Macaca mulatta: one gene and its partners. The protein of the gene in region 5 interacts with the protein of the main gene of each other region in a biochemical or structural test. Links are inferred from orthologs where the notes say so. Each region holds a gene or a part of one and is shown on either strand. Other genes may lie near its edges.

Region 1 (4,024 bases), about 55 Mb from region 5:
AAATTTATTCACATTAAGCATTTATTAAATGCTAGGCCCTGTGCTAAATACTCTACATACATTATGTCATTCAATCCCCAAGACACTCTATGAAGTAGGTCTTATCATCAGTATCAGCCTCATTTACAAATGAGGAAATTGAGGCTTGGAGAAGTTAAGTAACGCACTTCAAGATACCTGGCTGGTTGGTGATGAAGCCAGAATTAAAAGACAATACTCCCAGAACTTCAGAGCCAGAAGGAAGCCTATAATTATCTTTCCCCCTTAGCCTTCTTGAAGCTGAGGTTTGTAACTTACTGCCTGGCACATAGTAGGCCCTTGAAAATAGTGATTAATAGACTGATGGAGTGCCCTAATTTCTCAGGTTCTGGCCTTCGCCTGAGAGAGCCCAGCTGCCACCACAAATAGGCTCTATTCTTTCTGCCCAACACCTCTCACAGGTGTGAATTGCTTGTGTCATCTGAATTATTCATGATCCACACAATGGTAAGTGTGCTTAAAAAGAGAACTACAATGCTGTATTTTTCAAGACAAAGTGCCTGATTAATTGGGGAATTAGGCAGTATAAACTTATGGGCTAGGTTGATTCATGCCAAACAATACATCCATGCCCACTTTTTGAATTTCAGTTTTTACATAATTTCCCAGTTTCCCTTAGGATTAAAAATACGGGTAAATAAAGCAGGAAAAAGAACCATCATGGGCATCTCTATCCTATCTGAAAGCAATTAACATCATCTAAATCTCATACTGTGTTGTTTCAAACCAATGTATTCTTCCGAAGGCTGTTAGGATTTTCAATCAGGCTTCTTAAGCTACATCAAGATCTGGAAATTCAGATGCCACAGCAGCTGTAATTCATGCCACCAGTAAATCATGTGACACCACCACCTCCTTGTCCTTTCTCCTTTCGTCTTTTCTTTTGCCCCACCAGTTCATTTTCTAGTGGGCAGTTTTCTGAGAGGAATAACCATATGCTAATAGAAAGCCAACACCACTGTATTTTCAATTCAATGTTAGTCAACCAAAATGAATTGAAAAACAGCAGCAGTGGTTTGAGGGTACTAAAAATAAACTGTAGCATTTGCTGAGTTCTCAGAATTAAAACCACGGTGGTCAACTTGTTGCTGCTCTTAATAAGATATGACTTCTGCCTCATTGGCTGCTACTACTAGAAACTTGAACTATGTCACACACCTAACAACGATGTGTTTTCGATTAGTTGGCAGTGATCGAGAAAGGAAGTGCCATTTCCCAGGAACTAAACCTGCCAAGAAAGATAACAGATGGCTTTCAAGTGATCACCTTGTACCACATCACAATTGCACCTTAGTCAAATTCACCTTGCATTTATGATTTAGTGAGTTACACATCGAAAGCTGTGGTTGCCTTTATGCCCTGCTTGCTCTCCACTGCCTCCAAAAAGGTGTTTATTCCTTTGAGTTTAATTTGTGAATAATAATAAAAACAGCCCAATGGGACTTAATACAATATTAATATATTGAACACTTCCATTAGGACTTCATGACCTTCTTGACCCTTAAATACCGTATACTACACTAAATGTCTTATCAGCTGTCCTTTTGGGTTTGTCATTAAAGTTTTCAATGACCAGAGAGGTAGAGGAATTCTATCTAATGCATCATTCTGATTAGAAACCTGTCATACTCAGAAACCAGTGGGTCTGCTTCTATTGATTCCTACTCCTTCAGATTCATTAGCAATTTTTTCCTCTTCAATTAGACCCGAGGATCAACCATAGAAAAGCTGAAAGAAGCCTTCCCTTTGCTCAACCTTACTTAAAAGGAATAAAAAAATGTATGCCTTGCTGGTGAAATTACAGACAGTATTATTAGAAAATGTCTAAGGAGTCTCTCTCTCTCTCTCTCTCTCTCTCTCTCTCTCTGTCTCTCTCTCTCTCTCTCTCTCTCTCTCTCTCACACACACACACACACACACACACACACACACACACAACTTGTAAATATGCCAAGAGTCAGAGGCTGGGCTCGACCTCCCTTCCCCTAACCCACTTCAATCAGGATCAGAAAGACACATCCCTTCATCGCTGCTGTCTCAAACCCATGCCCAAGCGAGTGTCTCCACAGAGCTAATTTCTGAAACAAACAAAGAAAATCAAGTCTGCGAGGAACGAGGGTTTGCTCCCCTCTGCTCCGGATTTGGGTGTCCAGGGTAGCGGACGAGGCACGGCAAACAGGTCGGGGCGCTCAGCTTGACCCCAACCTTCTCCGCCCCGCCAGCCCCCGCTCCAGCTGCGCCAGAAAGTGCGAGCCTGCCCGCTCCTTTCGCTTTTCGCCCGCTGCACCCCAAGCCCGAGAACACCCGCGTCCGCACACTAAGGGCACCACCGCTCTCCCACCTCTGCGCTGTCAGATGTCAGGCGCGGAGGTGCTCTGGGCACCGAGGTGCTAGCGAACCAAACAAGTGTCACCCCAGACGCCTGCCCCCACTCCAAGAGAGCGGGCGGGACGGCCACAGGTAGGCTCTGTCCATCCCAGGGTGCGGAGCGAGGGCAGGGGGCGAGACCCGGCGCGGCAGCCGCGCCCGACGGGCTGAAACTCACCGGAGGACACCGAAGAGCCGGACAGGCTGGAGTTGCTGGACGCTGCCATCTCCGCGCGCCCCTCGCGTCGCTGCTCGCTCAGCCCCGGTGCGGGCGCCGCAGCCGCTGCCCTCGCCCGGCCGCTCGCAGCCTCCGCGGCCCCCAGCCCATGGCAAAGTCCTGGGGACGCGCAGAAAGCACCAGCCTCCGGACTCTGCCTGCACTTCCTGCTCCACCAGATGACGCGCTGCCGCCGCCGCTATTTATTTGTGGTTTCCGTCCCGCTCCGCGCGTTTGCACGCTTTTCTCCGGGTGTCAGGGGGTAGGTGGGAGCAGAGGGAGGCCGAGGGGCGGCCGGGACGGGCGGATCTCGGCTCCCGCCGAGCCCCTCTGCCGGCCGCGCTACCCTGTGCGCGACTAGGACCAGGGCGTCCCGGCGGCCCCGAGCCGCCCCGCCAGCTCCCGCACCCTCTCCTGGGCTCCCGCCTCTCCGGCCGCACTTCGAGTAGCCCGGGCAGAGGCGGCGGGAGACGGACAGACAGAGCGACCTCCCCCTCTCCCTCCGCCCCAACTCCGCTCGCGCACACACAAAGGAAGGAGAGGAGACGCGGGCGCACGGGGGCTGGTTCGGCTACCGCGGGCTTGACAGCTCCCGCCAGTGGGGCTGGAGGGGGAGGCTGTGAACTGCTGGACACGGGGAGGCGAGACCGGGGACCGGGTCCCCGGGGTGCTGGGGAGGCCGGCGCGGGGCGCGGGGCGAGCGCGGCTGCGGCGCGCAGCGCTGCTCGTAGGGTTTGAAGGGGATGGGGAGGGAGGGTGTGGGGGAAGGTGGTGGGGCTCGCCGCGCCCCGCTGGGCTCTGGAGCAGCGAGACAGTGGGGGTGGGGGATCCAGAGGGCGAAGGCGGGATCACTAGGGCCACGGTGCTAGGCAGAAGGGAACCTGGGATGACAGAGCCACTGTGGAGCGCTCCTTCCACTCCCCTCCAAATTATCCTTTGTTGCTCTGGAACTGACGGCCCCTGCCCTGCAAGAAGGTGCGTTTCCTAAAACACCCGGGAAGCCAACCCAGCTACACTTAAGTAACCCAGCCACGGACAGCGCCCGACGCGTCCATGGGCCTCTGAGGTTGGCCTTCAAAGAAATAGAGCCGTCCAAACGTGTCATCAGGCCCACACAAAGCCGGGTGTCAAAGAGAAAAAGGTTCTCCTACTGTGCCTTGCAAAAAAGATTCTCACAAAAGACTTGACTTAGCAGCAAGTCCGACTGTGCCCTTTCAGGATAGGAAATGCTCAGGTGTGTGACAGAAAGAGACTCGAGGACAAGGTGTGCCCCTTCCCCCTGTATTTAAACCTAAATTAATTTCACTGGGAGGAAATATCATGCAGATTTTTTTTAAATCTGTTTCACGCTCCCAGCGGGCTAATCTGTTCTTTCAATCCTAAAGCAACAGAAAACTGTGA
Region 2 (3,500 bases), on a different chromosome or scaffold from region 5:
CCACTTATTTTTCAGTTTGTGAGGTTGGATCCAAATATGAAGACATGTATAAGAATGATCTTTGTGAAAATAGTTACTAATACTAAAATCTGCATGTTTAATATCCATTTTCTGCTTTGGCTGCACTGTGTAGAGTGTGCTGTCTGGAAGGTAGATGTTTGCTTACTATTTCACTTATGCCTCTCCAGGCTGTTTGGTTCTTTCTGTCATGTGTTCATTTCTTTTCTATAAGAAAAGACAGACCCATGGCTATCTTAATATTGATTGATTATTTTCTCTTTCATAGAAAGAGGCCTCAAAATAAGATGAAAAAGTCTCCTGTGGGTAGCTGGCGTTCCTTTTTCAACTTGGGGAAATCATCATCTGTTTCTAAACGAAAGCTGCAGCGGAATGAGAGTGAGCCTTCAGAGATGAAAGCCATGGCTCTGAAAGGTGAATGCCTGGGAGATTCTCACTTCTGCTGCTGTCATGATGGTCTTTGGTTGCTTTGGGCACATTCTTCACATATTGTTATGATCCGCTTCCGTAACATGTTCACAGTTGTGTCACACATATGGAGTGTCTTCTTTCACCAATTCTTTATTCCTAAACCGAAAAGTAATATTATATAAATGATATATAAATATGTAGAAGTATGCAATTTCTTTTCTTAAGGAAACTCTATATATAGTGTAAATGTGATTAAATTCCCATATACCTTGTATATTGTTGTAAATAAATACTGCTATGGTATCTAAATTTATCGATCTGTATTTTTACAGATCTAAAAAAATTTCAAAACTGTGTTTCAACATACCTTTCAAGTTTATAACTCTTTTAACTAAAGAAGGTATTATTTATTAGGAGTCTCATTAATAGAGTATTTTATTAGATCGAATAAATCTATTACTGTTGAAAAACTGCTCTTTTAAAAATCGTTTAAAAGCCATGTTCTATTGATAGTAACAACTTCTGAATCTAGGAAGGATAGTAGTACTTTCTTCTTAGGTAGTGTTTGAGGTGTAACGTTCAATTCATTTAATTCGTCATTCAGTTTGCAATCATGTAGAGCATGTGCTAACTATTTTGATAGCAGTCTCTGCAGATAGAAAATTAAGGTAGTCTGCCTTCCAAGTCAAATTGGGAAGTCATACGTGTAAGAAAGTGAATTATTAGCACAGAATCATAGTTACTGAAATAGTGGTTTAGGCTAGGTACAGTGGCTTACACTTGTAATCCCAACATTTTGGGAGGCCAAGGCGGGAAGATCGCTTGAAGCCAGGAGTTCAAGACCAGCCTGGGCAACAAAGTGAGGCGTTGCATCTACAAAAAAAAAAAAAAAAAAGATAAATTGCAAATAAGCGAGGCTTGGTGGCACACACCTATAGTCTCAGCTACTCTAGAGGCTGAGGTAGGAGGATTGCTTGAGCCCAGGAGGTTGAGGCTGCGGTGAGCTATGGTTGTGCCATTGTACTCCAGCCTGGGTGACAAAGTGAGACATTGTCTCTTAAAAAATAAAAGAAATAGTTACATGAGATAGTTATAGTAGGAATTGTCAACTCTTGTAGAGGAGGGGCTAGTGATTAGAAAATACAGCCTTTGATATGGGTTGTCAAGGAGAAGTAGGGATTCACCTAACTGACAAGGGACTAAGAATGGTATTTCAAGAGATGGGAGCAGAGTGAAAAGAAGCCAGCTGAGGGCTGAATTTTGGAGAGAAGCAATGTTTAAAGGTGGGAAAGGAAGAGCTGTCATGAGAGGAGAGTAAGAAGGAATGATTATAAAGGTAGGCAGAGAAAAAAAGATGCATGCTATCCTTAGCAGGGGAAGAGGGGGTTAAAAAGAAAGCATTCATAGTGCTGCCAGGGGGTTAAAGAGGACGAAGATATTTAGCGAATAAGATTCACATATGTACGTAAAGTTACCTGTGTTCATATCCCAGAGTTCCCGTAACGAATTACCACAAGTCGAGTGGTAAAAAATAAACATTCTTTTTTTTCCGTCGTGGCTCTGGAAGCTCAAAGTCTGAAATCAAGGTATCAGCAGGGCTGTGTTCTCTCCAAAGGCTCCACGGAAAAATCCTTCCTTGCTTTTCCCAGCTCCTGGTGGCTCCTGGCATTCCTTGACGTGTGGCAACATCCCTCCAATCTCTGCCTCCATGTCCACATGGCCATCTCTGTGTCTGTGTGTTCTTACAGGGACGCCAGTCGCTGGGTGTAAGGTCCACTCTACCTCCGGTATGATGTCATCTCAAGATATCATATTGGTCTTTACGAAATGTGAAAGAAAGCAGCATCTTAGTTAATCTCTGTGCTCAAATTCATAATCCTTTAGAAAAGAGATTTTTCACACGGGAAACCATTTAAGAACAGTGTCACACGCTATATAATAGAATACTAAATTGCTGTCGAAATGTACAGCTAATCACTCTCAGAAGTTTAAATGTATCAAGGAAAACACTGATCCCGTTAACCACGTATGTAACAAATAATAAATCTTCACGCTATTTGTTTTTTATTCTTCAGGTGGCAGGGCAGAAGGAACCCTCCGCTCAGCTAAAAGCGAGGAGTCTCTTACCTCTCTCCATGCAGTTGACGGTAAGACTGAAAGCTTCAGTCATTTCAGTCTATAATGTATTGCATGAAAGAATACTGCAGTTGAGTTTGTTTTTATATACCTGTGCTTAATAAGTAGGCTCTTCATTTCCTAGGAATACTAGTATCTATTTAGTATTATTCAGATTAAAATTCATTGATGCTTCCACGTGGTAGCAGTCTTTAATCTTTTCATTTTTGGCATGACTGCTATTCAGTTTACATAAAAATAGCTGAAATATTTCAAGTTAGCCATTTATATTTATTAATGTCTAGTGAAAACTTGTGTTATTACTATTTCCTTTAAATTTTACAATGGGAGCATAATTTTATAAAGTGTGTAATTAAGCAGTTTTGATATTTAGACCAGTAGTCTTTTGTCTTGCAAATGGCTTAACCTGGTCTTAAATTTCATAGATTGGATTGATTACATGTGGTCCTCATTTACAAGGATAATTAGCACTTGGAGAAGGCAACTTAAGATAAATCTTTGGCCAGACGTGGTGGCTCACGCCTGTAGTCCCAGCACTTTGGGAGGCTGAGATGGGTGGATCACCTGAGGTCAGAAGTTCCACACCAGCCTGGCCAATGTGGCGAAACCCCATCTCTACTAAAAGTACAAAAGTTAGCTGGGCATGGTGGCAGGCACCTGTAATCCCAGCTACTTGGGAGGCTTAGGCAGGAGAATCGCCTGAACCCAGGAGGCGGAGGTTGCAGTGAGTCTAGATTGCACCACTGCACTCTAGCCTGGGTGACAAGAGTGAAACTCTGTCTCAAAAAAAAAGAAAATCTTTTTAAAATAGGGACTAAAATTTCATGGTTAAGGGTGAAAAGAGGTTTGACTGCAGTGTAACTTAAAAAACAAAACTAAAAAATTGTGCAAATAAGTTTATATTCTCTCTTATTTAGCTAAAGTTAGATTATGGT
Region 3 (3,960 bases), on a different chromosome or scaffold from region 5:
CCCAACAAGGACACCTCCACAGGCAGGTAAAGGGTGGAAGGGAAGCATCCAGGAAGAAAACAGAACATGCAAAAGCGAAGATGAGAGTGGCAGGGGAGCCACAGAAAGTGAGGCTGCAAAGGCAGGCAGTGGTCTGATGCCTGAGAGTTTCTTATTCCATGTTAGTCTGAAATTTATCTTCAGAATATGAAGAGTCAGGGGTAGGGGGCATTGATGTGGTAAGGTTTTGTTTCACGGAAATCTTTCTGGATGCACAGTACCTTCCTTTGAGGCACTGCTTCCTTCAAACCTAGCACAGGGACTCAAAACATGCGCTTAGTAAATGTATATTGAATTGAACTGAACAAGCTTTTTACCAAATGCCCTCTTATGGATGAGGCAGGTCACCTTCCCTGCAGGACTCACTTTGGCCAAGAGAAGACTTGTAAAACAGGTCCAGCAGCCTCAATTATTGCACACTACTACCTGTACAACTGGAGTCCCCCAGAGATTAGGGCAGACCTTCATTGTTTACTTGTCTACCTCACCCATTAGACTTTGAGCTCTTTGAAGACAGGGAATATCTTAATAGACTGAATCCCCATAGCCTTAGCAAGAGGCCTGAAACATAGTAGCTCTCCAAACTCCAGTAATGTTGGATAAATGAATTGACTGAATTAGCAAATTCACCAAGGCAGACACATGAGTTCATGTAGTTAAGCGTATGGATAAACTTCAGGGAAAGTATGGGAAGTTTTCAGCGTCAATGTTCCCAAAACCCTTTTTGAAAGGCATAGTTGCTAGTTGGGGGGGGGGGGGTTCTACGCACGTGATTTAGAATTTTCCAAATAGGAACCAAAATGTTGTAAGTGCTGTGGTAGAAATCTCACCGGGCCAATGGGAAAAAGTCAGTTCTGTCTGAGAGGAGGGACAGGATGGAGGCCAGCAAAGATTTCACAGTGTGGGAATTCTTCAGTGGACTCTTGAAAGCTGAGTTGGTGCTTGCTACCTGCCCGTTTTGGGGCATAAAACCAAACTTCTGGAGCTTTTAAGGCTGGAAGTGACCTGCTCAAGGTCACACAAGAAGTAGATGAAGCCACAAGGTAAGAGATGAGGTATCTGTACTGATAATTCCTACTTTCTCCTGACAGAGTTGAAAGAGAACCCACAAATGTAGGAGGCAAAATTAAAGATTTTTCTCAAGAACAATTCTTAAAGTCAAGACTAACGAATTGAATTTTTATTAGTAACCACAGAACTAACCCTTCCCTTCACTGTTCAGTTTTTGTTAAGAGTAGAACAATTATCCAAGGGGTTTAAAAACCAAGGACGTTGCTCACAACCCACTACTTCTCAAGTATTCTTCCAAAACATTCCCAGTAATGTGTATTGTTGAAATAGGATAGCGAAGACTACAACAATCATGTCTTTTCAAATGGATTAATGAACATAAAATAACTATAAATCTCCTTTCCCGGTTGTTTTTCACTTCCCAAGTTACAGAATATTCCGCGGTGGGGGAGGGGCTGCGTAAGTCAAGTCCTACCAGCCCTTATTTTTCAGGGAGTAAAACCCTAAAGGTGACTGTCCAAGCCTAGAAGGGGTCATTTATTCCATGCAGAAGGAACTGGGGCGCCGCTTTGCTGTGCCTCCTCGTAGTGGGACAGGGTGAGCTCTGCAGGACTGCAAAGTTCGGAAGGGACTCGGTCCCGGACCGGTACCCGTGGGGGCTCCCGGCCCCAGCCTGGCCTGGCCCCGCCCCGCCCCTTCCCTCTCCCGGGTCTCTCGATCGCCCGGCGTCTGAGACCCGCGACCCCGCCGGTGAGCGCACGGGGGGCCTTTGTTGGCCCGACGGGAGCGGGCCTCGCTGGGCGACGCCCGCCTCACCTTACCTGGAGCCTCCGCCGGCCCAAGCGCCCGGCCCCGCCACGCGAGATAAATGGGCCCAGACCCCTACTCCACCCGTCCGCACCCCCGCGCCCCAACCCTGGCAGCCCGGGACGCGAGGGGTACCGGGCGGGAGGCCCGCTCTCACCTTCCGCGCTCGCTCAGCTCCTCTCGGCTCCTCCTCCTCCTCCCGATGGTGGGTGCCGCCGAGCCGGGAGTGAGGGCGCGAGTGTGTGCGAGCTACCGCTTCACTTTCTCCCTCCTGCCGCCGCCGCGCCGCCAGTGCCGGGGATCCCCTCAGGACAGGGGAACTGCGAGGGAAGGGATGATGGGGGGGCGGCAGGGAGCGAGGCGACGCGGGGCGGGGGCAACGGTGGGGGGCTGAGGGGCGAGGTGCGAAGAGCTCGGATGGCCTCTGAGGCAGGAGATGGGAACTGGATGCGGAGACCAGGTTCTTCGAGGGGGCTCACGAGAGCGCGGGGCTCCGTGAAAAAGGGAATAAGAGTCCGAGGGGGAAAGCGTCTATGGAGGAGGACGGCGGAGCCTGCGAGGGAGGCGCAATAGGCGAACGAGGGGGCGGGAGCGTGTGGGGGAAGCCGTGAGGGGGCGTCTACTGTGCAGCCGCCACCTTCGGCTCCGGCTGCAGCCGCGGCAGGGCCGCCTCCCCCGCCTACAACTGCGCTATTGTACGCCGCTCGGCGGGCCTGACCGCCTAGTTCACTGGCTCCCCTCCTCCTCCTTCTTCCCCCTTACCCCCGCCCTTTCCCCCTTCCCTCCCCCCCGGCCTTTCCCCCTCCCCGGCGCGGCGGTGGCTCCGGCGGAGCCGTGCCCGCCCCGCCTCCCGCAGGTGGGAGGGGGCGGGGAGCGCCTGACCGACCCGTAGGAGCGAGGCCAAACCCTGGCCTGCAGAAGGGCGAACGCCTGGGATTGCGTCATCGGCGCGTGACGCCAGAGGCTGGGGAATCACCCGGCTGCTGCGTGACGTCATCGCGTCGCGTCACTCTTCTCGGTCCGCTGTCCTTGGCCGGCAGTTTCCGTGCAGCATTTCTACCAGACAATTTTGGGACTATTTCTGGGAGGGCTAATGGTGTAGCCAGGATGGAGAAAGACGGCTAACTTCCGTGGCTGAGGATCCTCTTCAGGTTAACGAAGCACCACCGCATCTATAAACTCGTTGTCAAGGGCTGAAGTTGAAAACTCTCCGACGTTGTGTGATCGCAGAGCCAGACGTGTATTATGTTTTCTTTGTGTGGGAGGTGGGAGAGGGGACGGGGATGGGAGGAAGACAAAGAAATTATAACGGAGAAGTTTGAACTACTGTGAACTGATATAGGATTGTGAATTGATATAAACAAGAGTTAAGTTCCTGTGGCATATTTCTGGTCACAAGACATCACCAAACTTCTAAAGAACAAAACACCTCTAATATCAAACATTGACATCAATGTGACTTATACATACATTTAAGAAAGATTAATAAAAAGAGGCCAGACCAGGTGCCTTGGCTCACGCCTGTAATCCCAGCACTTTGGGAGGCCAAAGTGGGCAGATCGCTTGAGCCTAGGAGTTTGAGACCAGCCAAGGTAACATGACAAAACCCCATCTCTACAGAAAAATAAAACCCAAATACAAAACATTAGCCAGGCATGGCAGCACACACCTGTAGTCCCAGCTACCCAGGAGGCTAAGGTGGGAGGATCACTTAAGCCCGGGAGGTCAAGGCTACAGTAAGCCATGACCACACGTCTTTGCACTTCAGTCTGGGCGACAGAGTGAGACCTTGTTTCAAAAACAAAACAAAAAACAAAAGCCTGGGCACAGTGATTCATGCCTGTAATCCCAGCAATTTGGGAGACCAAGGCAGAAGATCACTTAAGCTGAGGAGGTCGAGGTTGAAGTGAGCTGTGATCATGCCACTGCACTCCAGGCCAGGAAACAGAGTGAGTGGAATAAACAGAGTGAGTGGAATAAATAAGTAAGATAAGTGTCTCAAAATAAACAAGATCATTATTTACCCAATTTTTCCAGTTCAGGGTTGAGAGTGGCTAGAGCCTATCCCAGCAGCTCAAGGTGCAAGGCAGGAACCAACCATGT
Region 4 (3,500 bases), on a different chromosome or scaffold from region 5:
GTATGCTTAGGGTAAATAGTACTTTATTAAAAAGATGTGGTACTGAACATATTTATTTCATAAACTTTTTCATAATTCATAGAATCACCTTATTAGATTATAATTCTCTTGAGTTATATAAGAGCTAATGAGATTTAATGGTTTTGAAATGAGCTATCAAAGAAGCAAACTTTTTGAAGTCTGTTCATAAAGGGCGATAGTCACATTTAAGCCTATTTGACTTGTTTTCCTGACTTTGCTCATAATCAATGCAGCTGAACGCCAAGGGAACAGAAACACCCGCAGTAGTGACAGAGGAAGATGATGATGATGAAGAGACTGCTCCTCCTGTTATTGCCCCACGACCAGATCATACGAAATCAGTGAGTGTCGATTGGTGACCTAGGCTGTGTGTGTGCGTGTGTGTTTTAAAAAACAAGAGTCTGTATTTGACTTTCAGTGATTGCTTTTAGAAAGCCGTCGAGTTTAAAACCATTTAGTGTGGGGAAATTTAACCGAGAGATCTGTACCCAAAGACCACTCACCAAAAACTAGTTTTCTGAAGATTGAAATGTGATGTGTCTTTAAAAGTTAACGCACTCGAGGCCGGGCGCGGTGGCTCACGCCTGTAATCCCAACACTTTGGGAGGCTGAGGCGGGTGGATCACGAGATCAGGAGATCAGGACCATCCTGGCTGACATGGTGAAACCCCATCTCTACTAAAAATGCAAAAAATTAGCCGGGCGTGGTGGCGGCGCCTGTAGTCCCAGCTACTCGGGAGGCTGAGGCAGGAGAACGGTGTGAACCCGGGAGGCGGAGCTTGCAGTGAGCCGAGATCGCGTCACTGCACTCCAGCCTGGGCGACAGAGCGAGACCCTGTCTCCAAAAAAATAAATAAATAAATAACGCACTCACCTCACTGGGCTTTTTTCTTTCTGTAGTACGCTTTTCCAGTGGGTTCATCTATTTCCCAAGCTTTCTCTGTTCATCTCAACGTAGATGGCTGGTAAATCTATTACAGCTTTCCTCCTACCCAGATGATGTGTTTTAATCTCCCATTTTACACTCCTCTCAGCGCCTTCATGTCATTCAAAAGGCAGTTGAGAGTGAAATTCCTAACCAGGTAAGGGAGACTAAAAATGATGGCCTTAAATGGAGCCAGGAAGAGAGGAATGACTGCAGTTACCGTTCTGCTCTCTGCACTGATGCAAGTAGAGGGTGGGGAAGGTGCTGTGCCGTGGAATGGGCTGTGCTCGTGGCACAGTGGGCAGGCAGAGCTCCGGGGACGGCCTCTGGATGCCGAGCTGACGGCAGAGGACTGTTTTCTTTAGCCTTTAAACCTGGCTATTTGAAATGGGTGGTAGGCATTATAATTGTGTAAAAACTTTTGTGGGAATTAATAATCTTTCAACGTCAAGGTTTCCATTCTTTTGCATTTTACTTACATCTGTAGTAAAAACAGGATTTTTTTTTTTTTTTTTTTTTTTTTTTGAGACGGAGTCTTGCTCTGCCACCCAGGCTGGAGTGCGGTGGCCGGATCTCAGCTCACTGCAAGCTCCGCCTCCCGGGTTCACGCCATTCTCCTGCCTCAGCCTCCCGAGTAGCTGGGACTACAGGCGCCGCCACCGCGCCCGGCTAGTTTTTTGTATTTTTTAGTAGAGACGGGGTTTCACCGTGTCGGCCAGGATGGTCTCGATCTCCTGACCTCGTGATCCGCCCGTCTCGGCCTCCCAAAGTGCTGGGATTACAGGCTTGAGCCACCGTGCCCGGCCTAAAACAGGATTTTTAAACTGTGCTTTTTGATACATTGTTGTACCATTTTAGACCTGGTCACACTTAAATTTCATTCATGGACTTGCTGTTTTACTAGACAGCTTTTCAAATATATACATGCTATGCCAAAGAAAAATGTTTCATATTTTTTATTCTTAGTTACACATCTTTTATATCTGAAAATAGTGTTCTCATTATTTAGAACAATGGAAGAGATAACTTAGTTCAGGTTAAAAATCAAAGAACTGAATTAGTGTGCCAGCAAGAATATCTGAAAACATGATTCCTCAGACCTTAGTAATGAACTGTTTCTCCACAGATTTACACACGGTCTGTAATTGACCCCGTTCCTGCACCAGTTGGTGATTCAAGTGTTGATGGTGGTGCCAAGTCTTCAGACAAACAGAAAAAGAAGACTAAAATGACAGATGAAGAGATTATGGAGAAATTAAGTATGTTATCTACATTTTTTTTTTTTTTTTTTTTTTTTTTTTTTTTTTTTTTTTGAGACGGAGTCTCACGCTGTTGCCCAGGCTGGAGTGCAGTGGCGCGATCTCGGCTCACTGCAAGCTCCGCCTCCCGGGTTCCCGCCATTCTCCTGCCTCAGCCTCCTGAGTAGCTGGGACTACAGGCGCCCGCCACCGCGCCCGGCTAATTTTTTGTATTTTTAGTAGAGACGGGGTTTCACTGTGGTCTCGATCTCCTGACCTTGTGATCCGCCCGCCTCGGCCTCCCAAAGTGCTGGGATTACAGGCTTGAGCCACCGCGCCTAGCCAATTTATCTACATTTTATATCATTGTTAAATTGTTAACAGCTCTTAAAACATTTGGCCCAGACGGATTTTAACTTACACCTTACATTATGGCTTAAAGTATAAAGAATACATTGTTTTCTTATAGCAACGGTAGCTTCAATTACAATCTAGAGATGTCGCCGGGCGTGGTGGCTCACCCCTAAATCCCAGCACTTTGGGAGGCCGAGGTGGGCAGATCACCAGAGGTCAGGAGTTCAAGACCAGCCTGGCCAACGTGGTGAAACCCCATCTCTACTAAAAATACAAAAATTAGCTGGATGTGCTGGCATGTGCCTGTAATCCCAGCTACTTGGAGGCTAAGACAAGAGAATCACTTGAACCCAGGAGGTGGAGGTTGCATTGAGTCAAGATTGCGTCACTGGGGCGGGCGCAGTGGCTCACGCCTGTAATCCCAGCACTTTGGGAGGCCGAGGCGGGCGGATCACAAGGTCAAGAGATTGAGACCATCCTGGCCAAAATGGTGAAACCCTGTCTCTACTAAAAACACAAAAATCAGCTGGTGTGGTGGCGCGTGCCTGTCGTACCAGCTGCTTGGGAGGCTGAGGCGAGAGAATTGCTTGAACCCGGGAGGTGGAGGTTGCAGTGAGCTGAAATCATGCCACTGCACTCCATCCTGGCAACAGAGTGAGACTCCATCTCAAAAAAAAAATGCTAACTGACCATGCACTGTGGCTCACGCCTGTAATCCCAGCACTCTGGGAGACCAAGGTGGGCGGATCACTTGAGGTCAGGAGCAAGACTAGCCTGGCCAACATGGCAAAACCCCATCTCTACTAAAAACACAAAAATTAGCTGGGTGTCTTGGCAGGCGCCTGTAATCCCAGCTACTTGGGGAGCTAAGGCAGGAGAATCACTAGAACCCAGGAGGCAGAGATTGCAGTGAGCCGAGATCGTGCCACTGCACTCTAGCCTGGGCAAAAGAGAGAGACTCA
Region 5 (4,174 bases):
GCGAGACTCTGTCTCAAAAAAAACAAAACAAAACTGTGCTTGATCAAATGCTCATAACTAATTAAAAAAAAAAAACAGACTGAAAACTCAAGGCCACAGGTTTTTAAACCTAATACTCCCTCACAGAGCCTCTGTCGTAGAAACCGCAGTAACAGTACCAGGCACTTACTAAGCACTCAGCAAGGGGCACCTGCAAAGTAGTTAATAACCAACATCTTGTTTACTCTTGTTGACCTCCCGCTGAACCACCTCTCCTGGGAGGTGGGGGATGTGCTTAGGGTTACCCCATGTAAGCGGTGGAGTGGGTATTTGAAGGGAGGGTCCAGATTCCAGGATAGGCATTCGACAAGTTATCTGACTAGATAAAACAGCCAATTCAAACAGCAGAGGTCCTTAATCGGTTAGTATTAAATAAACGTATCTGCTATGCTTATGTTTTAGTTTCAGCATTTTTCAAATAATTATCAGCAATATGACTTATAAAAAAAAAAAACAGGCCGAGGCGGGGGGATCACTTGAGGTCAGGAGTTTGAGACCATCCTGGCCAACATGGCGAAACTCTATCTCTACCAAAAAAATAAAAAATAAATAAATAAAATTAGCTGGGTGTGGTGATGTGTGCCTGTAATCCCAGGTACTTGGGAGGCTGAGGCATGAGAATTGCTTGAACCCGGGAGGCAGAGGTTGCAGGAACAGAGAGAGCGCCATTGCACTCCAGGCTGGGCAACAGAGTGAGACCCTGTCTCAAAAGAAAAAAAAAAAGAAAGAAAGAAAAAAAAAAATTGGGCTGGGCGCGGTGGCTCACACCTGTAATCCCAACACTCTGGGAGACCCAGGCGGGTGGATCACCTGAGGTCAGGAGTTCGAGACCAGCCTGGCCAACATGGTGAAACCCCGTTTCTACTAAAAAATACAAAAATTAGCCTGGCACGGTGGCGCATGCCTATAATCCCAACTACTAGGGAGGCTGAGGCAGGAGGATCGCTTGAACCTGGGAGGCGGAGGTTGCAGTGAGCCGCAATTGTGCCACTGCACTCCAGCCTGGGCAATAGAATGAGATTCCGTCTCACAAAAAAAAAAAAAAAAAAACCCTTGGATAGCCTACATACTCTTAAATAAGTGAAAGTTAGAATTTTTAGTTATTATATAAACAGAATTATGAGGCATTAATAATATTATTTCACATTTCCAAGACAAATATGACAGATGGGCATCTTACAAAAATCAGTTGTCTAATTATCCTTCTTGCATCTGAATTGCAAGAACCAAAATCTGTCCTAATGACAAGTTTGAAGAATATCAACCAGTTAACCGTGATGCCAGAGCTTGCCTTGGACTTTACTGGAACATGTACCAGTTGCACTGAGTTTTATTAAACTGGTAGTAATTCTTCCTTGCTAACACTAACCTATACAAGCAACGCTGAGACGCGCGATTTTGCTTGGGTTACACTGAGATTCTTGTTTCTATGGGAGAAAAAACTGCATAAGACAAGTCTTGTCTTCCTCCAGGGCCTGTAACCACCACAGACAGTCATGAAAAGCAATGCCTGGAGTCACAGGGGGCCAGTTCTGCTACATCCCATACCTAACGCGTTAAGCAAAGAACAGTTTATCAATGACCACACCACGTTAAAAAAAAAAAAAAAGAAAGAAAGAAAGAAAAGAAAAAACAGTGCCCCTTACAGCCGGCTCCTCCCAGCCAGCATCTTAAAAACTTTCTCCACGGAATAGGCGAAAACAACAATTTTAAGAATCCTAACAGTGGCAGAAGTGTAAGTTGAAAAATCCTGCTCGAAAATAAGTTTAGAAGCCGGGCGCGGTGTCACCCCAGCACTTTTGGAGGCTGAGAGGCAGGAGGATCACTTGAGCGCAGCAATTCGAGACCAGCCTGGACAACACAGCGAGACCCCCAACCCCCATTTCTACAAAAAGTTTTAAAGATTAGCCAGGCGTGGTGGCACACGCCTGTAATCCCAGCATTTCTGGGAGGCTGGGATGGGAGGATCGCCTGAACCCAGGAGTTCGAGACCGGCCTGTGCAACACAGCGAGAACCGGTCTATGAAAAAAAATATATTTTTCTAAAGAAAAGTTTGGGGGCACCAAAGAGGCCCGCACAATCAAGCATGCATCAAATATCGACTTGACCGCCGCGTTCCCAACACAGCTCTCAAGGCGAATTGAGAGGTTCATGCAAAAAACAAGAAAGAGTCCCTTTTTGGAAAAATGGTCAAAATCTCCAAGAGCGCTTCCTCTACGAGCGCTCCCGAGGAGGGCGGCGGGCGGCGTCCGGGAAGAAAGCCGGAGGGTGGAGTTCACTTTTCCCTCCGGCCGGCGAGCGGCAAGGCCCTCCTCCATCCAGAGCCGGAACCTGGCACGCGCCGCCCGGGAAGTCAGGGTCCAGTGGGGGCGCCAGCCCGCGGCCCCCGCCCCGCGATACAGGCCCAGGCCCACAGCCTACGCGAGCCCGCAGCGGGCGGCCTGCCTGCCTGGGTCTCAGTCCGGGCCAGACCCCCGCCCGCGCCCGACCCCGCCGTCCCCAGTCCGGCCCCGGCCGCGCACTCACCCGTCTCCCACCACCACACACTTGATGGCCTGCATCTGGGCCGCTCGCTGGGCCGCGGCGGCGGCGGCAGGGCGCTGAGATAGGAAGCGGCGGGCTCGGGGCGCGGCGGACGAGCGCGCGGCTTGAGGGCGGCGGGGCGCTGGGTGCCGGGGCCGCTGTCCACGCCGCCTCGCCCTCCGCGGACTGGAAGCTCAAGCCCGGCAGCGGCCACCACCCAAAGCTCAGGAAAACTGCAGAGAAACAGGAAATGGCCGCTCCACTCACATCCGGCCTCCCCTCCCCCGCGCCGGCGTCGCCGCTCCCAGGTTCCGGGCGGGGCCGCTCCCGCCCGCGCCGCTCCCGGAGTTTCTCTGGACTTCGGGAATGCTCGGAAGCGCTCGGGACCGCTCGGCTCCGACCGCGGGGAGCGGCGGCCGCCATCTTGGCGCGCTAAGGAGGCCTGGGCGTGGCCGGACCTGCAGGTCCTTTCCCTGGGGTTCACGGTTTAGGCTTTAAGAGGAACCTGTCAGTCGGGCGCGGTGGCTCACGCCTGTAATCCCAGCACTTTGGGAGGCCGAGGAGGGAGGATCACAAGGTCAAGAGATTGAGACCATCCTGGCCAACATGGTGAAACCCCGTCTGTACTAAAAATACAAAAATTAGCCGGGCGTGGAGGCGCGCACCTGTAGTCCCAGCTACTCAGGAAGCTGAGGCAGGAGAATTGCTTGAACCTGGGAGGCGGTGGTTGCAGTGAGCTGAGAGGGCGCCACTACACTCTAGCCTGGAGTCAGAGCCAGACTCCGTCTCAAAAAAAAGGAACCTGTGGTGGCTGGGCGCCGTGGCTCACCTCTCGCCTGTAATCTCAGCACTTTGGTTGGGAGGCCGAGGCGGGTGGATTACAAGTTCAGGAGTTCGAGACCAGTCTCATCAACGTGGTGAAACCCCATCTCTACTAAAAAAAATACAAAATGGTGGCTCACGCCTGTAATCCCAGCACTTTGGGAAACTGAAACAGGTGGATCACGAGGTCAGGAGTTCAAGACCAGCCTGGCCAACATGGTGAAACCCCATCTCTACTAAAAATAAAAAAAAAAAAGTAGCTGGGCATGGTGGCGGGTGCCTGTAATCCCAGCTTCTCGGGAGGCTGAGGCAGGAGAATTGCTTGAACCGGGACCCAGGAGGTGGAGGTTGCAGCAAGCTGATATGGCGCCACTACACTCCAGCCTGGGATACCGACCGAGACTCCGTCTCAAAAAATAAATAAATAAAAAATACAAAAATTAACCGGATGTGGTGGCAGGCACCTTTAATCCCAACTACTTGGGAGGCTGAAACAGGAGAATCGCTTGAACCCAGAAGGCAGAGGTTGCAGTAAGCCGAGATCGCACCACTGCACTCCAGCCTGGGAAACAGAGTGAGAGTCCGTCTTAAAAAAAAAAAAAAAAAAAAAAGAGGGACTGTGGTTGCAGGAGCCACGCTCCCTGTCACTAACTCCGGCTCGGGGCCATCGGAGGGCACTGATTTCCATCCCCCGTTTCGTTATCTTCATGTAATAACTATGTGCAATGACATTAGGTCCTTTTAGGAAATTCAGAATCTAAAACTATAAGGAAGAATAAAATCATACAC
Region 6 (4,108 bases), on a different chromosome or scaffold from region 5:
GCTTCCTCATCTATTTAGTGAGGCTAATACCGCTTACTTGTAGTTTTGTTGTAAACTAAGATAAAGCCTGACATATTACTCATTTTAAAATTGTACACACAGACCCTGCTTTAACCAGATGCCTGCAAATACTCAGGTTTTCCTTCTACATATAGAAGACAACTTATCAGCTGCCAGGGCTGAAGCCAGCAGATATGGCTAAATGACAGAACAAAGGATTATGCCAATAAAGTATGCAAAGCTTCCTTGCCCAGAATATAAATCAAACAGAGTAAAAAGCGAGTATATTGGCTCCAGGAAAAGGAGCAAGGACAGCCAGTTTTCAGGCGACCTCGAATTCTCTCCGTTTAGGATTCACCAACCCTAAGGTCCACTGGGTCCTTCAATCTGAGGGTCCATCCAGGGCCTTCCCTCCTGGGGTTGGAGATGGCTAGCTGCCTGATGGAGAGACCCCAGGCTGCTCAGCAGCAACGCCTGGCACAGCCGAGACAGCCTCGTAGTCTGCGATGCGGCGCTGTACCAGGGCAGGCATGAGCTGCACGTAAGCGGCCATGAGGCGGTGGTTGGAATGGATCAGCTTCCCAGCACAGCTGTGCAGACAGGCCTCCTAGAAGGAAGATAGGGTTTAAGCGGAGGACAAAGGTGTCCTGTCGGGCCCGCCTCCTTCCTTCCCCATGCACAGCCTAGGGGTGAGGGTCTGGGAAGGCCAGGACCAGAGGTAGGGGAAGTGGGGTGAGGAGGGAAGCAGTCTACCGCTAAACTCTGTTTGCAGCGTAACCTCCTTACACAGTTCCCCACCTCCTCAGCGTCCAGAGCTCGGTGGTGCAAGCTGGGCACACAACGCTGGAAGCAGAGTTCTGTCATCCGATTGTAGACCAACAGGAAGTCACGCAGCTGGGAGAAAACCGGGACCACGAACTCAGCGATATGTGCCCCACACTTCTACTCAAGGTCGCGCAGCCCAAAGTTTCCCAGGCCCGCGCACCATAACCCGAAGTTTCCAGCCCTCAGATCCCTGGCTCTATGGGGTTTCCGCGATGTGTGCAGGAATGCGAGCTGAACGTCTGGCCCCGAAACGACTTAGTTCTCACTCACGTTTCTCAGTTGCTGTTGCTGCTGCTGCTGCTCCATCACGCCACCGGCGCATGCTCTACGCCACTTCCTTTTCAGCTTCTCGGTGCCGCCCCGGAAGTAACCTCTCGCTGCTCTCGAGAACCAAGCTAGAGTATCGCCCTGCCCCGGCTTCGACGTCACTTCCGCCCTTATAATCTGCGACGTGGCCGGCTTCTTCTGCCCGGAGAGGACGTCACTTCCGCCGAGTCCCTGACCTGCTGCTAGGATCGCGACGGGAACTGGAGCCCGAGGTCCCCGCGCGGCCCGGGCCTGGCGCCCTGAGGGGAAGAGCGGCCCGGCCCGAGGTGAGAGGGACATGCTTGGGCGACGGGAAGTTGAACGCACAAACCTGTCCAGAGGGCAAGATGCCCCGAGCCCTGGGGAAGAATGAGGACACACCTGATGTCCAGGTGTATGGGGGTGGGGGCGGGGACTCACATACCTGGGAGACTGACTGTGGAAGGGATCACCGATATCCTGGTAAAGACAGGCTTTTGCCAGAGACTGGGAACATACACCAACTGATCTAACTAAGGCCTGGTGGGGAGGGCCCAAGGAAGAGGAGTTGTATGAGACGTAGGAGGGGAGACCCCCTGAAGGAAGGGGGAAGAAACACTAAAGGAGTGAGAAAGGCCAAGCAATGGAGAACAAACCTGAATGGGGGGTGAAGACCTGAGCCCTGGAAAGGGTCCATCTCCTGCTCAGCATAAACACGCCTGCATGGAGATAAGTTCTAAGAGAGCTACTTTCCCTCTTCACTGTTGTATTTTCATTGTCACAAATAGTACCTGACACAGAGTAGGCACTCACTAAATGTCTGCTGAATGACTGAATGAGTGTAGAATAATCACCAGAGGCCTGGTGAGGTTGGGGGCTTGTGAGAAGACACCGTGCTTTGGTGTGCCTGTGTACAAATGTGCATTTTGGAGGGGAGAAATACATATACCTGAAGAAAGGAATGATGACCAAACGCTGGGACACTCAAACCCTGGGACAGCCTTTAAAGAAATGACAGAGGAGGCTTCCTTCTTCTAGAGTGCTGGCCAGTGCCCAGAACTTCTGTGTTGGGCTTTGCAGGGTGCTGGGGTGGAGAGTTTTACTCCAATACCTTTCCTAGCCATGACGGACGGGATCCTAGGGAAGGCAGCCACAATGGAGATCCCTATCCACGGGAACGGTGAAGCCAGGCAGCTTCCTGAAGATGATGGGCTGGAGCAGGTGCTTCTGTTTGATTCTTCTAATTGTTTCAATTTAGGAATCCAATTTATAAATCCTGGGTTCTCACCCTCCATTCCAGTAGCCTTCCCCTGAACTTATCTGACTCCCTTAATTTTACATATCATTTTGATTCTGTGCAGACTTCCCTTGTGTAGTGTCTTTATGATGCTTGAATCCAAACTTGTTCCCACCTCCAAAATGCTTCTGCAGTCCCTATGTTCCTGAAGCAACCCCTCTTCTCTGGCCTATAGGACCTCCAGCAAGTGATGGTGTCAGGACCCAACCTCAATGAAACCAGCATTGTGTCTGGTGGCTATGGGGGCTCTGGTGATGGACTCATCCCCACAGGTATGAACAGAAACAGGAAGCTTGGGTGGAGGAGGGGACAGGAATGGTTTGGGGAAGCATAGGATATGTCTAGGAAAGCTTGAATAATGTCTGGAGATCTTAGGAACTTCTGCTTGTAGGAATCCCATGGACTCTCCTCAGCCCAAAAGCAACTCCCAGCATTGTCCATCCATTTCCCTTTTGCCACTTGGCCCCTGAAATGGCTCATTCGTCCTTTCCCTGCCACCACCTGAGTCAAGTTAAGACCTACTTCACAGGAATGCCCCCGCTCTACAGCTTGAGGCTGAGTTGGAACTTTGTGAGGCTTTTCAGAATTTTTAGATTCTAAAGTTTAGAGGAACAAACAGCCCTGAATCTCACACTAAGATTCCACATGGGAATGCAACCAGGTTTCTTGTTATCATGACCCACCATCCTTGACTCCTGCTGCCCCCAAACTCAGTGTATTTTCTTCTGTTTCCTCTGCCCCTATACACCAACAACTCCCTGCAAACCCCTCCTCTGGCCTCCAAGGAGGCCATATGTATATCAGGATTTGGTTATCACTGTGCAAGGTCCGAGTTCCTCCTAGTAAACAGGAGAATCCAGTTGTCTCTAGCATCTCCTTCAGGGAAGTCAATTTCATGTGCTGGGAGAGAAGCATGGGTGGGGCCACAGAGGTGTCTGGTGTATCTGAGAGAGGCTGGTGTCAGAGAACTTGATCCTTTAGGGTCTGGCCGCCATCCATCTCACAGCACCACTCCTGCTGGCCCTGGAGATGAGGTGGCTCGGGGCATTGCTGGAGAAAAGTTTGACATCGTCAAGAAATGGGGCATCAACACCTATAAGGTAGGATTTGAGCACCTCTCACTTCCCCAAAACTCGTTATGGGTACCTTTTTCCCCTTTCCTCATGATCGTAATATCCCATCTGTGGCTGAGAGTAGGAGCCTGGGTGGCGTTGGGGTAGATACCTGTTGTGTCGGGAGGCTATTAGGGTCTCTGATCTATTGCCCCGTTTCCCAATCAGTGCACAAAGCAACTGTTATCAGAACGATTTGGTCGAGGCTCACGGACTGTGGACCTGGAGCTAGAGCTGCAGATTGAGTTGCTGCGTGAGACGAAGCGCAAGTATGAGAGTGTCCTGCAGCTGGGCCGGGCACTGACAGCCCACCTCTACAGCCTGCTGCAGACCCAGCATGCACTAGGTGATGCCTTTGCTGACCTCAGCCAGAAGTCCCCAGAGCTTCAGGTGCCTCACCCAGACCAAAGAGGGTGGGGGAACTGGGCATGGGCCCTCCCAGGCAGTCATTCGTCATCCTCCCTCCCTCCTGCAGCCCACAGGGAGAACCCCTTCAGGGTGGGCCCAGCCCTACCCCCAGCAGCACTCACCTGTGGAGGCAGCCTAAGGGTTTGTACAGAGGTCCAGAAGTTGGAGGGGGTGGGGGAGG
Region 7 (3,500 bases), on a different chromosome or scaffold from region 5:
TGATGTATGTGTGAACCACAAAGTGCTTGTTATTGTAAGTTTTAATATGTAAAATTAACCAATGCTACATATTTAGATTCTATTTTTAGGAGTAGCTGTGAAGTTGTGTCAAAAGCAAATTGTGCAAAGCTAAAGCAAGGGATTGCTGTACGGTTCCATGGAGAAGAAGGCATGGTGGGTATAAAAGATGATGATGTAGAAATCACTGTATGTAAAGAAAGATTGAAATGCCTTTTGAATAAAGTTTAATGTTCAGTTGATAAAGGAAGAAACTTTATATTTAAATTTTATTTAGAAAAAAATTTCCCAGTATAACATATTTCTGTTGATGCTTAATTTTATTTCTTGAATTCAGGGTCAAGGTGTTGTGCGTGAATGGTTTGATATTCTGTCCAATGAGATAGTCAATCCTGATTATGCATTGTTTACCCAGTCAGCTGATGGTAAGTTGTATGGTCTAGTTGACTTTTTCTGCAACTTGTCACATTTTTCACACTATTTCAGTACATTTTATTTTTGATTTCCACAGCAGACCTGTGAGCTAGGTGGGATATTCTTATTTTATAGATGAGAAAACTGAAATTCAGAGTTTTTATCTGCATTCACACAGTTAATAAGTAGTAGAATCATAAGTGGAACCTGACTCAGTCTAACCTTTTTTCCTCTTAACAGCTGGTTCCCAGATGCTTATCTCAAGGACTAGTGTTGGCCCCAAGGAGGTTTCTTATCAGTCCTTTATAAAATAAAACTAAATTTGCTCAATTTAAGGATTATCCTTTAGTCTACTTTTTTTGAGTTAGATTTTTCATTTCATTAAAATTAATGGTGCTTGTAGATGGCCTTAAACAAATACAAGTCCCTATTTGGAAAAATAAAAATTTGCTAACTCTATTTGAGTTTCCAAGTTTTAAAATATATTGGTTAGGAAAACCAAAGTCTAGAAATCATGATGTAAAATTTCAACTCTTAATCTATTTATATATACTAACTTTATTTTCAGTCATTTTAAGAGATCAAGACCTGGCTACTATAAAGCTCTTATTTAACCATATACAACAGATAATTAACCCTCCTTGTTGAAATGGTGCTTGTGACCTATAGAGTTTAATTTGCTATTGTAGACTAAATGGAAATAGTTATCTCATTTGTGTGAGGCATATTTGAGAGCTCTCTAACTTAATAAAGACATATTCCAAGTGAAGGTGGGATTTCAGTTTTCAAATGCTTTGCACAGTCGCTCGTTTTTCCTGAAAATCTTTTCTTTCCCCAAATGTTTACATTCTTTTATCAGGAGAGAATACTTCATTAATGGTAGCTTCTGATTGCTTCCAACCAAACTAACAGCAAATCCCTATTTGATAAGAAGGATGATTTTAAGGGAGGCATGTGGGAGCGGGCTGCAACAGAGCTAGGCTGCTGCAGGCATTCATCCCTGTGATGGGCTTCTTGGATACACTTTGAGTATTTGCAATTGCATAGGAACATGGAACTGCCTGCTTTAACTTGGTAACCTTTGATTCTTTGCTCTGAGGTGAATTTGGTGTCTTTGTGAATGACAAGTTCAATGAACCCCTGAGTTTAATTATTTAGGCCTAATCTTTGAAGCTAGATCTAGCATTATATTTTAGACTTACTTCTTCTCTTTATATCCTTTATTCTAAGTCTACTTAGCTTAATATCTGAAAAACAGATTTGGTGTGGAATCATTAGTTGAGGTACTTCCTTAATGTTATAGATTTGTAGCAGAGCAAATGTTGAAGTACATAGACCCATAAAGTTGTTGTTGTTGTTTTTTTTTTCCTTTGAGACAGAATCTCACTCTGTCACCCAGGCTGGAGGGCAGTGGCGCAATCTTGGATCACTGCAGCCTTGACCTCCTGGGCTCAAGGAACTGTCTCACCTCAGCCTCCCGAGTAGCTGGTATGGCTAAGGTGGGAGGATCACCTGAGCTGGGAGACCAGTCATGGTGCCTAGCTAGTTTTTGTATTTTGTAATTTCTCTATTCTTTTCGTGGAGACGAGGTTTCACGATGCTGCCCAGACTGGCCTCAAACTCCTGAGCTCATGCTGTCTACCCGCCTCGGATTACAGGTGTAAGCCACTATGTCTGGCCAGACATTTTGATTTATGTCTTTTGTAAGCCATATCGGTCTCCTCTTTGGGGTCATAGTATTAATAAATTAAAATCAAGCTGAAATATTTTCACACTCTTAGGTTTAGTTGACAAAGAGAATTACATATAGGAATCAAGAATTTCTAAATGTGGCAAATGTTTGGGTAGACCTGATATCTATAATAATTTTTTTAAAAACTTGTTTTCTAATGAAATTAAGATGCTTACAGTAGTGAAATAGTATAGTTGTTATGAATTTGTCATTTGGGTTTATACATGGTGAGAATCTTGACTGCTGTTCTTTTGATATGATCTTGGGGCCAGTAAACTTAATTTTCTGCACTTTCGTGTCCTCATTTAAAAATGGTGATACCTGGCTGGGTACGGTGGCTCACGCTTGTAATCCGAGCACTTTGAGAGGCCGAGGTGGGCAGATGACAAGGTCAAGAGATTGAGACCATCCTGGTCAACATGGTAAAACGCCGTCTCTAACTAAAAATACAAAAATTAACTGTGCATAGTGGCATGTGCTTGTAGTCCCAGCTACTTGGTAGGGTGAGGCAGGAGAATTGCTTGAACCCAGGAGGCGGAGGTTGTAGTGAGCCGAGGTTGCGCCACTGCATTCCAGCCTGGTGACGCGGCGAGACTCCGTCTCAAAAAAAAAAAAAAAAAAAAAGATGATAACCTGTGTTTTGTAATGTGGTAAGAATTCAGTTAGCTAATATGTGAAAATGCTTTGTCGGTGCCTGGCATATAGAAAGTATAAATATTATATGCTATTATTATCATTACATGAAAATGATATTATTGTATACTAGGATTTTTCTGAGAGCATGAAAACAGTTGGAGGAGTAATAGCTATATATATGTTTTTTGAACTTAAAATTTATCATAAACTTTTAATTCTATTTAGAATTTTCTTACTCCTTTTCTGAAGATTTTCTCCCTATATGTTTCCTTTTTTTAAAAAAAAAGTCTCCTTATCCTTTTTAAGTATCTAGATTTCTCAGAAAGTAATTAGAGAGGGAATTAAACACAGAGCTAGGGGAGGAAAATAGAGTCATCAAAAATCTTTGTAGCCCTAATCATTCATTGTTTTAACAGGTAAAAAATATTTGTGGTTATTCTCAGAATATTATATTTTTGGGATTATGATTATATTTGTCTTTGAAGTCTGCCTTTATCTCACAAAGCTTTGCTTTGGCTTTTAATATCAAGTCTTGCTTCATGACAGGGAATTATTCTCCAAAGGTCCTTAACAGTGAATGATGAGACTCACATGACTTACTAATACCATAGGATTCCAAATTTGTACCTTAATATCTAAATAAACTAGTCAGCAGTTTAACCTGGTGTCAGCACTGAGAAATCAAAGATCAATGAAACAC

What was found.
Region 1: the proteins of RAC1 (region 5) and CHN2 form a complex in vitro, tested with the Homo sapiens proteins (2 studies listed by BioGRID). The link is inferred for Macaca mulatta from reciprocal best matches to the Homo sapiens genes RAC1 and CHN2.
Region 2: of the proteins of RAC1 (region 5) and ARHGAP32, one has a biochemical effect on the other in vitro, tested with the Homo sapiens proteins (3 studies listed by BioGRID). The link is inferred for Macaca mulatta from reciprocal best matches to the Homo sapiens genes RAC1 and ARHGAP32.
Region 3: the proteins of RAC1 (region 5) and PAK1 form a complex in vitro, tested with the Homo sapiens proteins (17 studies listed by BioGRID and IntAct). The link is inferred for Macaca mulatta from reciprocal best matches to the Homo sapiens genes RAC1 and PAK1.
Region 4: the proteins of RAC1 (region 5) and PAK2 form a complex in vitro, tested with the Homo sapiens proteins (2 studies listed by BioGRID and IntAct). The link is inferred for Macaca mulatta from reciprocal best matches to the Homo sapiens genes RAC1 and PAK2.
Region 6: the proteins of RAC1 (region 5) and ARFIP2 form a complex in vitro, tested with the Homo sapiens proteins (2 studies listed by BioGRID and IntAct, with this or other methods). The link is inferred for Macaca mulatta from reciprocal best matches to the Homo sapiens genes RAC1 and ARFIP2.
Region 7: of the proteins of RAC1 (region 5) and HACE1, one has a biochemical effect on the other in vitro, tested with the Homo sapiens proteins (5 studies listed by BioGRID and IntAct, with this or other methods). The link is inferred for Macaca mulatta from reciprocal best matches to the Homo sapiens genes RAC1 and HACE1.

What each region holds. Positions count from the first base shown.
Region 1 is NC_133408.1:99,150,391-99,154,414, forward strand, and holds the start of CHN2 (beta-chimaerin), read right to left. Parts: upstream 2,801-4,024; 5' UTR 2,634-2,800; coding exon of another isoform or gene 2,585-2,633; intron 2,500-2,584; exon of another isoform or gene 1-2,499.
Region 2 is NC_133419.1:129,340,124-129,343,623, reverse strand, and holds part of ARHGAP32 (rho GTPase-activating protein 32), read left to right. Parts: intron 1-286; coding exon 287-432; intron 433-2,504; coding exon 2,505-2,576; intron 2,577-3,500. UniProt on the Homo sapiens protein: GTPase-activating protein (GAP) promoting GTP hydrolysis on RHOA, CDC42 and RAC1 small GTPases. May be involved in the differentiation of neuronal cells during the formation of neurite extensions.
Region 3 is NC_133419.1:77,888,564-77,892,523, forward strand, and holds the start of PAK1 (serine/threonine-protein kinase PAK 1), read right to left. Parts: upstream 2,801-3,960; 5' UTR 2,744-2,800; intron 2,676-2,743; exon of another isoform or gene 2,178-2,675; 5' UTR 2,015-2,177; exon of another isoform or gene 1,872-2,014; intron 1-1,871. UniProt on the Homo sapiens protein: Protein kinase involved in intracellular signaling pathways downstream of integrins and receptor-type kinases that plays an important role in cytoskeleton dynamics, in cell adhesion, migration, proliferation, apoptosis, mitosis, and in vesicle-mediated transport processes.
Region 4 is NC_133407.1:2,349,721-2,353,220, forward strand, and holds part of PAK2 (serine/threonine-protein kinase PAK 2), read left to right. Parts: intron 1-254; coding exon 255-362; intron 363-2,072; coding exon 2,073-2,205; intron 2,206-3,500. UniProt on the Homo sapiens protein: Serine/threonine protein kinase that plays a role in a variety of different signaling pathways including cytoskeleton regulation, cell motility, cell cycle progression, apoptosis or proliferation.
Region 5 is NC_133408.1:44,637,067-44,641,240, forward strand, and holds the start of RAC1 (ras-related C3 botulinum toxin substrate 1), read right to left. Parts: upstream 2,801-4,174; 5' UTR 2,602-2,800; coding exon 2,567-2,601; intron 1-2,566. UniProt on the Homo sapiens protein: Plasma membrane-associated small GTPase which cycles between active GTP-bound and inactive GDP-bound states.
Region 6 is NC_133419.1:59,303,476-59,307,583, forward strand, and holds the start of ARFIP2 (arfaptin-2), read left to right. Parts: upstream 1-1,308; 5' UTR 1,309-1,418; intron 1,419-2,190; exon of another isoform or gene 2,191-2,230; 5' UTR 2,231-2,232; coding exon 2,233-2,331; intron 2,332-2,582; coding exon 2,583-2,679; intron 2,680-3,388; coding exon 3,389-3,507; intron 3,508-3,687; coding exon 3,688-3,909; intron 3,910-4,108. Other genes in the region: TIMM10B (mitochondrial import inner membrane translocase subunit Tim10 B), read right to left, coding at 431-607, 799-894, 1,096-1,131. UniProt on the Homo sapiens protein: Plays a role in constitutive metalloproteinase (MMP) secretion from the trans Golgi network. May have important functions during vesicle biogenesis at certain cargo subdomains, which could be predominantly utilized by secreted MMPs, such as MMP7 and MMP2.
Region 7 is NC_133409.1:80,964,548-80,968,047, forward strand, and holds part of HACE1 (E3 ubiquitin-protein ligase HACE1), read left to right. Parts: intron 1-76; coding exon 77-174; intron 175-355; coding exon 356-443; intron 444-3,500. UniProt on the Homo sapiens protein: E3 ubiquitin-protein ligase involved in Golgi membrane fusion and regulation of small GTPases. Acts as a regulator of Golgi membrane dynamics during the cell cycle: recruited to Golgi membrane by Rab proteins and regulates postmitotic Golgi membrane fusion.